2 linked regions of the Kluyveromyces lactis genome follow. The protein of the gene in region 1 interacts with the protein of each later gene in a biochemical or structural test. Links are inferred from orthologs where the notes say so. Each region holds a gene or a part of one and is shown on either strand. Other genes may lie near its edges.

Region 1 (4,553 bases):
GAGAGAAGTTATGAAAAAAGTCACAGAAAGGTTCGCACAGAACTAACGTATCTAGTTTCATTCCTCGATTTATTGGTGGTTCCTTTTGGAAAATCAAAGGAAAATCGAAATAATACACCAAATTGCTGATAAAAAACACTAAAACATGCGCAGGACACAGCCCGAATAATATCCCCGACTGTTATTGGGGATCAGGCAAGAGTCGGAAATCCCAATTGAGGTACAGGGAGTAAGGAATAAGACATGTTCCACGAGAAAATCACGTAAATCAAAAAGCGTAAAAATGAAAAAATTAGGGAAGTTTCGCAGTCCGGACTGGGAGACCTCGAGGGAAGATAAAATGGGAGAAAGGAAGATTACAAAAACAGAAGCAGGTGTGTTTCTGTGTCTATGTGTTACTTATTAACCGTTGCTTACTGATTCTGTAGGTTCGTATTTTTTGTCTTTAGAAGATGTTGTTACTCATAAGTTCTTTCCTATCTAGTTTTGTTGCCGGGTGAAATTGGATATAAAATTTCTTTTTGATTTTCCTCAGTGCTAGTTTTTCTAAGAGCGTGTTTTTGAGACCCTCGAAGCGTTGCAAGGTGCATACATTCGAGCTTCAGCAGAATGCTCGACCTTCTTTGATGTGAAATCGGGTGTTTCTGCTGTTAGACACCCTATAGAACTGATTTCGGAAATACATCTGATGCAATGGAGTACTTCGGTACGGGTTTTAGGTAATCACTGCCAGTACCGCTGCTGTCGCTGGTAGTTGTGATACTTGTACCGCTTCCAATCGTAATTGGTCTTTCTTGTCTGTTCAAATCGCTGGCATTCGGCGATATCGGTTTGAGAACGTTAGCAGCAGTTGCGGTTCCAATCTCAATGTCGGAGTCAGTAGCAGACACAGCTTCTCCCGTGTACTCTGCAAGTTGTTGTCTTAGTCTCTTCGCGCTCTTCAACGCTTCTATCATTTTATCCTTCCTTTCAAGAGATTGATGCAACTGCATCAATTCTTGCTCTTGTTCATGTAACACTTGTGTCAAATCGATATCTGATACATTGGACAGCAACTCTGCAGTGGCTGCAGTGGCAGAAGCATCTCGAGTCCTTGCACTCTCTAGCTGTGATATATACCTCTTCGACTCTTGTAATTGAGAGTCCATGTTGACCAATTTTGTCTCTAACATCACACCAATATCCTGTGGGAGCATGTCAATGATTTCCACTAATTCGGTATCTTTCAAGATACTAGGTTCTAACGTTTCCAGTCTTTCATAATGTTCTACCTTCATCTTTAGAAGCTCGTTCTCCCTTAGTAGTGATGTATCTGAACTTATTCCGGATCCAATGAAACCTTTCCCCCTGGTCAAATTGTCGATGGTTATTTGCTGTTCTCGTACTTGTTTCCGCAATGTTTGGATTAATTGGCTCTTGCTTACGTTGCTGTCGGCTTCGTTACGCTTTACAGCCAAACTGATGTTTTTTGCCCTGCTGGCGAACCGTATCGTATTGATAGATTCCGTACTTGTCTCGGGCCTTGTATCCACAGTACATATGGTAGCGACTAACGAGTCCCCGCTTAGTGCAGGTTGTAATATTCTTGTTAACTTGGAATCTCTGTATGGAATATGGCCTACATTTGTAGAAAGGCCCGAACTTTCCATACTCAATTTAGATATCACTGTTCCAAGAGCTAATAACGATTTGTTGATGTAAGCTCCCTCTTTCCTTCTTTCTTGTTGCCCCGTAGCTCTTTCGGACCCAGCTAAATCACACAGAGATAATGTACTCATCACTTGCTCGCCAGTTATTTCATCGGTGCAGAATACACGGATAAGGACCACAGCGTGAGATCTAGAGGATCTTGTATTAAAATCAGTCTCTCCAGTCTTACGGTTATGATCTCCAATCGATATGCACTTCATTAACTCTTTATTACTGCTAACATTTCTCTCAACTAAACCAACAACTTTAACCCCGTATTTCAAGTCATCTCGAAGCTTAAGATCATTAGTCAATGTCGAACTGGGCACCATAATATTGCTATTTAAAGTTTTGCCCTGTGGTAAATTCAATAGATCAAATATTCTCTCGTTGTAAATTTCCAAATAGGATACTCTGACAGTAAACTTTTTGCGAGGTAATCCCACATTGATACGATCGAAAATAGTGTCAACGCACATGGGTATTATACCAGGACCTGATTTGGATCCACTCATGGTATATGTCTTACCTGAACCAGTCATACCATAAGCGAAAATTGTACAATTAAATCCCTCGAATAATTTATCTATCATAGGCAATGCCATAGTCTCATATACTCGATCGTTATTCATCTCCGGACTGAAAACATGGTCGAAGTTAAATTCCCCAAACTCTTCATGAATAATGGAGTTGTTATTTACGTGCCAAGAATCTTGTTTTCCATGAGTAGGCTTGATTCTTACCCCTACCGAAATGGTACCCTGGTATGAACTTCTCCCGCCACGAATTGGAGAAGCGGCCTTCGTAGAAGAACTTCTTGCTGGTGAAGAACATTGACTCGAAGATGACGAGGAAGTTGATCTTGGCCTTACTGTTGATGAAGTTCTTAGATTTGGTGTGCTGGGAGGTCTCATCAATCTTTTGGGTGAATTGTACGATGATGTATGGAGTGGAAGTGCCACTGGTTTGGTAATCATGATCGATTGGCTATCTCAAGGGTGTGTTACTCTGCTATATTTTCGTTGCAATGCAAATCCTTGCGTAATCCAATATTGTGTCCTAATATGATTGTTTAATCACAAATAATAACAGTACGAAAATTTTGAGTATGAAGCTGATCCAGTGAAGATAATGTGAAGCAAGGCCATATATATTATGCAGGGACAGATGTATGGGCAAATAGATAAATGTCAGACTACTGTTAATGATTAGTGTTTGACCTTGTGTCTCATCTTACTATCATTTTTTTTAGATATCGAAATATGTCTATTATGTTGACAAATTACCTATTTGAGTTATAATTGAGAACTATCTTCATCAAGGAGAGTTGGCAATTCACACACATCTCGACACCAACGTTAACAAAATCAAGAACGGATCAAGAGGCGCCTGACAGATCAGAGAAGTTGAGAGTGGCATGTGCTCCAAATAAAATGAAAAAATATATATGAATTTTTTGGTAGGCCTATTCTACTATAGAAATATTCACTACTTTTAACAGACCTTGTGAAAGTAACATAAAAAAAAATGTAACTAAAATCGATACTTGAATTTTGGGAGAGAAATGAAAAAGAGATTCTGATAAAGGCAATTTATCGACATTTTATGAATCATTTATAGGTAGCCAAAGCCAAAGCCAATTGAATAATGTCCATCGTCTATATATTTAGAGGAAGGAACACAATTGTTTTATGATGAAATAGGAAAGAATTCTTTTAGGTATTTTAAGGTTTATTTGTCACCAAGTGTTGTTATACTTTGTTAGCTAATTCGATTTGTGAAACTGACATTCAATTAATATAGCAGTAAGTTAACCGTCTTATTTAATTATTTTTTTAGAGTTGTCGAGTTAATAGAAGCTGAACTCCAATTCAAAAGGTTACAATTCGATCGCTTTTTTAACAATTAGGCAGCCTTGGCCAAACCAACTGCATCATGACCAATATCATAAATGGAGTAGTATTTACGTAGGAAGGCATCACCAATAATGGCCAAGGGACCAACTGGTTCTGGGAAGTCCATTGGAGTGAATGCAGAGATACAAGACCCAGAGACTTCCAAAGTGTAATCGTATGCGGTAATAGTGAAGTTGTAACCGTTGAAATTCAAAGTTAAGTCTGGTAGACTATCTCTAGATTCACAATCAACGGAGTATTGACCAGACCAGCCCTTCTTTGCACCGATTTCAGCGTTCAAAATTTCAGCCAAACCGCTTGGCAAAGCAATCAAAGAGGTACCGGTGTCGATAGCAGCACCATGACCTTCTAAAGTAGCATATTCTTCACCCAAACCGATACCTTCAAACTTGACTTCCCAGTAAGCCTTACGACGAACAGGCAACCAAGTGATTTCACCGGTGTACTTCTCCTCATCGATACCACCGAAGGAAGCTTCACCGCCATCTTCAGACTTGTCAGAATCACCCAAGTAAAAGGCAAACACTGGGTCATCCAAAAGTTTGTTTTTGATAGCGTTGTACACTGGTGGAACGATTCTGTTAACAGAGATGGAGTCGTAAGCCAACCCCAAAATACCATCGAATTTACCAAAGGCAAATGCCAAACCTGGTTCGCTGGTAGCTTCAGCGAAATCCTGGTCAGGTATCACTAAATCCCCAATGGTCAACAAATCACGAGACACATATCCTTCAAGGGAACCAGAACCATATTGGATAGCAAACTCGGAACCATTAGCTTTGTAAGTGCTAGAAGCCTCATGGTCATATTTGGTGTGCAAGAAACATGCCAAAGAACCACATTCTGCACTTGGAACCCACAAGTTTGATGAACCAGTGTCTAAGATAACCTTAAAAGACTGTGGTGGCGAACCCAAAGTAATTTCTGTGAAATACTGAGCATTCAAGT
Region 2 (3,845 bases), on another chromosome or scaffold:
AACTCAATAGATAATAATTTTTGAACATTCCCAGAAGTGGCACCTTTACGCCAAATTTCGTTACGTGAACGGGAAAAGTAGATCCCAGTTTGTGTTTCGATGGCCAAAGAAACGGACTCTTTATTAGAATATACCAAACCTAGAGAACGTTCATTTTCATCAACGACTAAGGTAGTATATAAACCATCTGGACGATCAGTTTTCATGCCAGAAAGGACAGAATTAGTGAATGTTTCCAAAGAAATTTCAGATGCTTTAACCAATTGAGATTGTTGGATCTCTTGTATTTGACCAAAGCTGAACTGGTATGCACCATCTTTTAATAAGGTCAATCTGATGCTTGGTACCCCAATTTCAACTAAATGAGCAGCATAATCATCAGAATCAATAAACAAGGTTACAACGCCATTATTCAATAGAACAATCAGATCATCATCCTCAAATTTTGCGTCTTTCAATAGAACAGAAATATTTTGACCATGACTATTCTGAACAAATTCCAAAATATCATCTTTAGTCATATCCTTCCCATCAAGTACTAATTGACTGGATAAGTAAAGGTAAGTCTTTTCTTTCAACGCATTGACAGCATTGAACACAGGTACAACAGGCAACATTTCTGGTGCTTTATGACTTCTTGTCTTAGGTGGACAGTCCTGAATGTAACGAAATTTGATAAAGCATGACGACTAACTTATTTTTTTTTCATATTTCATATTTTCATTTTTATATACCAGGAGGCTTGATTTTTGCAGTGGATTGTGAAAATATGATTGAACGCATATGCACTGAATTACATGAGTCATATGATGAAAAAAACACAGGAAAGCCAATGAAAACTCGAAGAAGAAGTCCGGATGCGATTGATGGACTGTAGGTAATTCATTATAAGATGATTCATTATATGATGATGCGCTAAGTATGCTATATATATGATGCAAGTACAACAATGGATATTAAAAGGGACGAATTTTGACTCTAAAAGAATTTGTCGTCGTATGGGCAATCTACTGATTCATGACCGTCTTTTTCGCAAAGAGCACACCACAACGAGCGCCCTGCAGCTGCATTCACTAAAGTTGACTTTACTTCGGCACCTGGATTGTATAACGGCAAGGTTTCAATGTTACTGTCCACAATAAGTGTATTTTCTTCCTGTTTTTTGGATAATTCTTCGACTCGGGATTCGAGCTCCCCAATTTTTTTCCTTGCATCGTCTAATTCCTTGTTGAGAGTATACTCTTTTGTCTCTGTATCATGGGATTTCTGTTGATACTCTGTCATCTCAGTAGTCAAATTTTTATATTCTTTTGATAACGACTGGTTACGGAATTGCAGTTGCTCCTTCTCTTTCTCCCATTGGACCCTATGCAATTCAGCTTGAGTCTTGTGTTGCTGTAGTTCTAGTATCTGTTCCCTTAAATCGTTAATTAAAAGGGCATCACTGTTCGGTTCATCTTGCATAACATAATCATTTTCAAGGGAATTTTTCTTTTCCTTCTGCATAATCTCGGCTAATATGGCAGCATTCCGGTTTATCTCAGATTGGAGCTCGTCTATCACAGTCAAAAGCTGATCATGTTCACTTTCATAAAACTGCTTTTGGCGCTGATGGGACGTTCTTTCATGGTCGAGTTGGTTTTGAAGTAGAACTTTCTCCTTTTCTGTGGTATCCAACTTAGTCTCATATTCATCAATTGCAGCTTGGATCTCCTCGAATACAATTCGTTGATCCTCTACTAGTCTTTTGTATTGAACTAGCTCTGTTTGTAACATTTTTAAGTCCGAGGAAGTAGTTTGCATCGGATCGTCATTCGGTTGAATGACATTTGAAATACTAGTTCGCGACTTGATTTCAGGAAAACTGTTTTGAAGAGGTTCATGATACCCTAAAAAATTTGCGTTAATCCTTACGGGAGTAGGTGATGCAGGTGGTATGGTCATATTTGCCTCAGGGTTAGAAGGTATTGGGATCAAGTTGGCGATCTTTTCCCATTGGATAAAAAGTCCACTTTGAGGGAAAGAAGTCTCAAAATACCGTCTGCCTCTGAAAGTTCCATCGTTTTTTCCATTGCCAGCAAACAAATTGATACCAACAAATGTTCCTTTCTTTGTTTCTACTGAGCCAATGTACCGTATTTGCCCTCTACCTATGTTAGGAACTTCAATTACCAGTCCTATACAGTCTTGATTATCCATCACTAGAAATAGACCGTTGGGATGTGAAACGAAGGTGTTTTGGGCATACGTTTTAAAAATTTACCAAACCAAAGAAAAATCAGGAAAGGCTGAGAAAATACTGGTAATTAAGGTATTTGGAAACGTTACCTCAGGTCTGTTACTATCGTATCTCCATAGATTAAGGATTTTAGTTTTTTGCCTATTGACTGTAAATATTGTTATTATGACAAAAGGTAAATAGAACAGAAAACTCCTTCACGTGAATCTTGACTTCCAAACAAGAAATGAAAAAGCAAGGCGAACTTCATGCGATGATATTCTGCTGAACAGCAATAGAACTAGCCGCTTCTGGTTCCTAAAGTAGTTATTCGTAATTGTATTCATAAATGATGTTCACTATTTAACTTTCCGGACGTTAGCTACAATACAGTAATTATATCATTAAAGAAAATTGGTAAACTGGTAAAACTAGAACAAGGTAAAAGGTAATAAAGAAGTGATTAGTGATGGCTTTTTTGTTAGGTTTCATTAGGGTGTTTCTTTTGAACACTGGTATATTCTAAGTGCCTCCAGGGCCATGAGTAAATCCAGAAGGATGGTTGCAATGAGTACGATAGAATAGCTGTTTTTTCTTACTTGGTGCAAAGACCAATGTGAAAACATACATTCAACGAAGAAGGTTGGAGCTGTTGGGTTTATTCAATTCTATCGAGGTGTGTTTAATATGGCCATCATAAAAAGAGCTATCGATCAGATCTTGTTATCCAAGTTTTGGACAGGGTTTCCTAATTGCTCTCCAATAACGGCTTGACGTTTTGCTTATACAACACATAAGCGTCATTGCCACCAACAACCTTAACATTACCGGCTGGAGAGTATTCACAGATCAAGTAGACGGATCCGGAAGAACATTTTGTTACAGAACATCCGACGTCAGTACTAGCAGCCCAAACCAATTGAGTGAAGTGACCAACATCATGACCGTTATGAGAGATACCAGTGACATTGTTGTAGTCATAGTAGTTGATTTCATCGTACCACAAGCCAACTAAGGCAGCTGGATCGGAGTTAGTACCAGCAGCCAAGTTTTCACCATACGGACCACCAGAGTGTTGTAGCTTATAGTTACATGGATCGTTGTCGCTACCGAACAATGTTTGAGTGTAATCGTAAGCATATGCGGCTAATTCCTCATTCCAAACTAATGGATTGGTGGATTGGTGTCTAGCTCTGTATTCATTATGGGCGTTCAAAACACTCTCGCGATCGGCATCAGAAATAGCCTCGGCGGTTGTGGTAGCTGCAGAATCTGCTGTTGTGCTGGCCAAAGTAGAAGTAGGAGTTGTCGAAGAGGTTGATGACTCTGTAGATGATGGGGTAGAAGCAACTTCAGAAGAGGTGGACGAAGTAGATGACTCTGTAGCGGATGAGACCACAGTTTCTTCAGAAGAGATGGAAGAAGTAGATGACTCTGTAGATGATGGGGTAGAAGTATATTCAGAAGAGGTGGACGAAGTAGATGACTCTGTAGCGGATGAGACCAAGGTTTCTTCAGAAGAGATAGAAGAAGTAGATGACTCTGTGGAGGATGGAGTAGAAGTAACTTCAGAAGAAGAAGAGGTAGACGATTGTATGGAAGATGGAGCGGAATTACCCTCTGAAGT

The links. The genes of interacting proteins can lie anywhere in the genome.
Region 2: the proteins of KIP2 (region 1) and BIK1 form a complex in vitro, tested with the Saccharomyces cerevisiae proteins (2 studies listed by BioGRID). The link is inferred for Kluyveromyces lactis from reciprocal best matches to the Saccharomyces cerevisiae genes KIP2 and BIK1.

Annotation. Positions count from the first base shown.
Region 1 is NC_006040.1:507,826-512,378, reverse strand, and holds KIP2 (Kip2p), read right to left. Parts: upstream 2,667-4,553; coding exon 660-2,666; downstream 1-659. Other genes in the region: PEP4 (proteinase A), read right to left, coding at 3,595-4,553. UniProt on the Saccharomyces cerevisiae protein: Required for assembly of the mitotic spindle.
Region 2 is NC_006039.1:110,567-114,411, forward strand, and holds BIK1 (Bik1p), read right to left. Parts: upstream 2,200-3,845; coding exon 979-2,199; downstream 1-978. Other genes in the region: HIS4 (trifunctional histidinol dehydrogenase/phosphoribosyl-AMP cyclohydrolase/phosphoribosyl-ATP diphosphatase), read right to left, coding at 1-617; KLLA0_C01496g (uncharacterized protein), read right to left, coding at 2,967-3,845. UniProt on the Saccharomyces cerevisiae protein: Required for nuclear fusion, chromosome disjunction, and nuclear segregation during mitosis. Probably required for the formation or stabilization of microtubules during mitosis and for spindle pole body fusion during conjugation.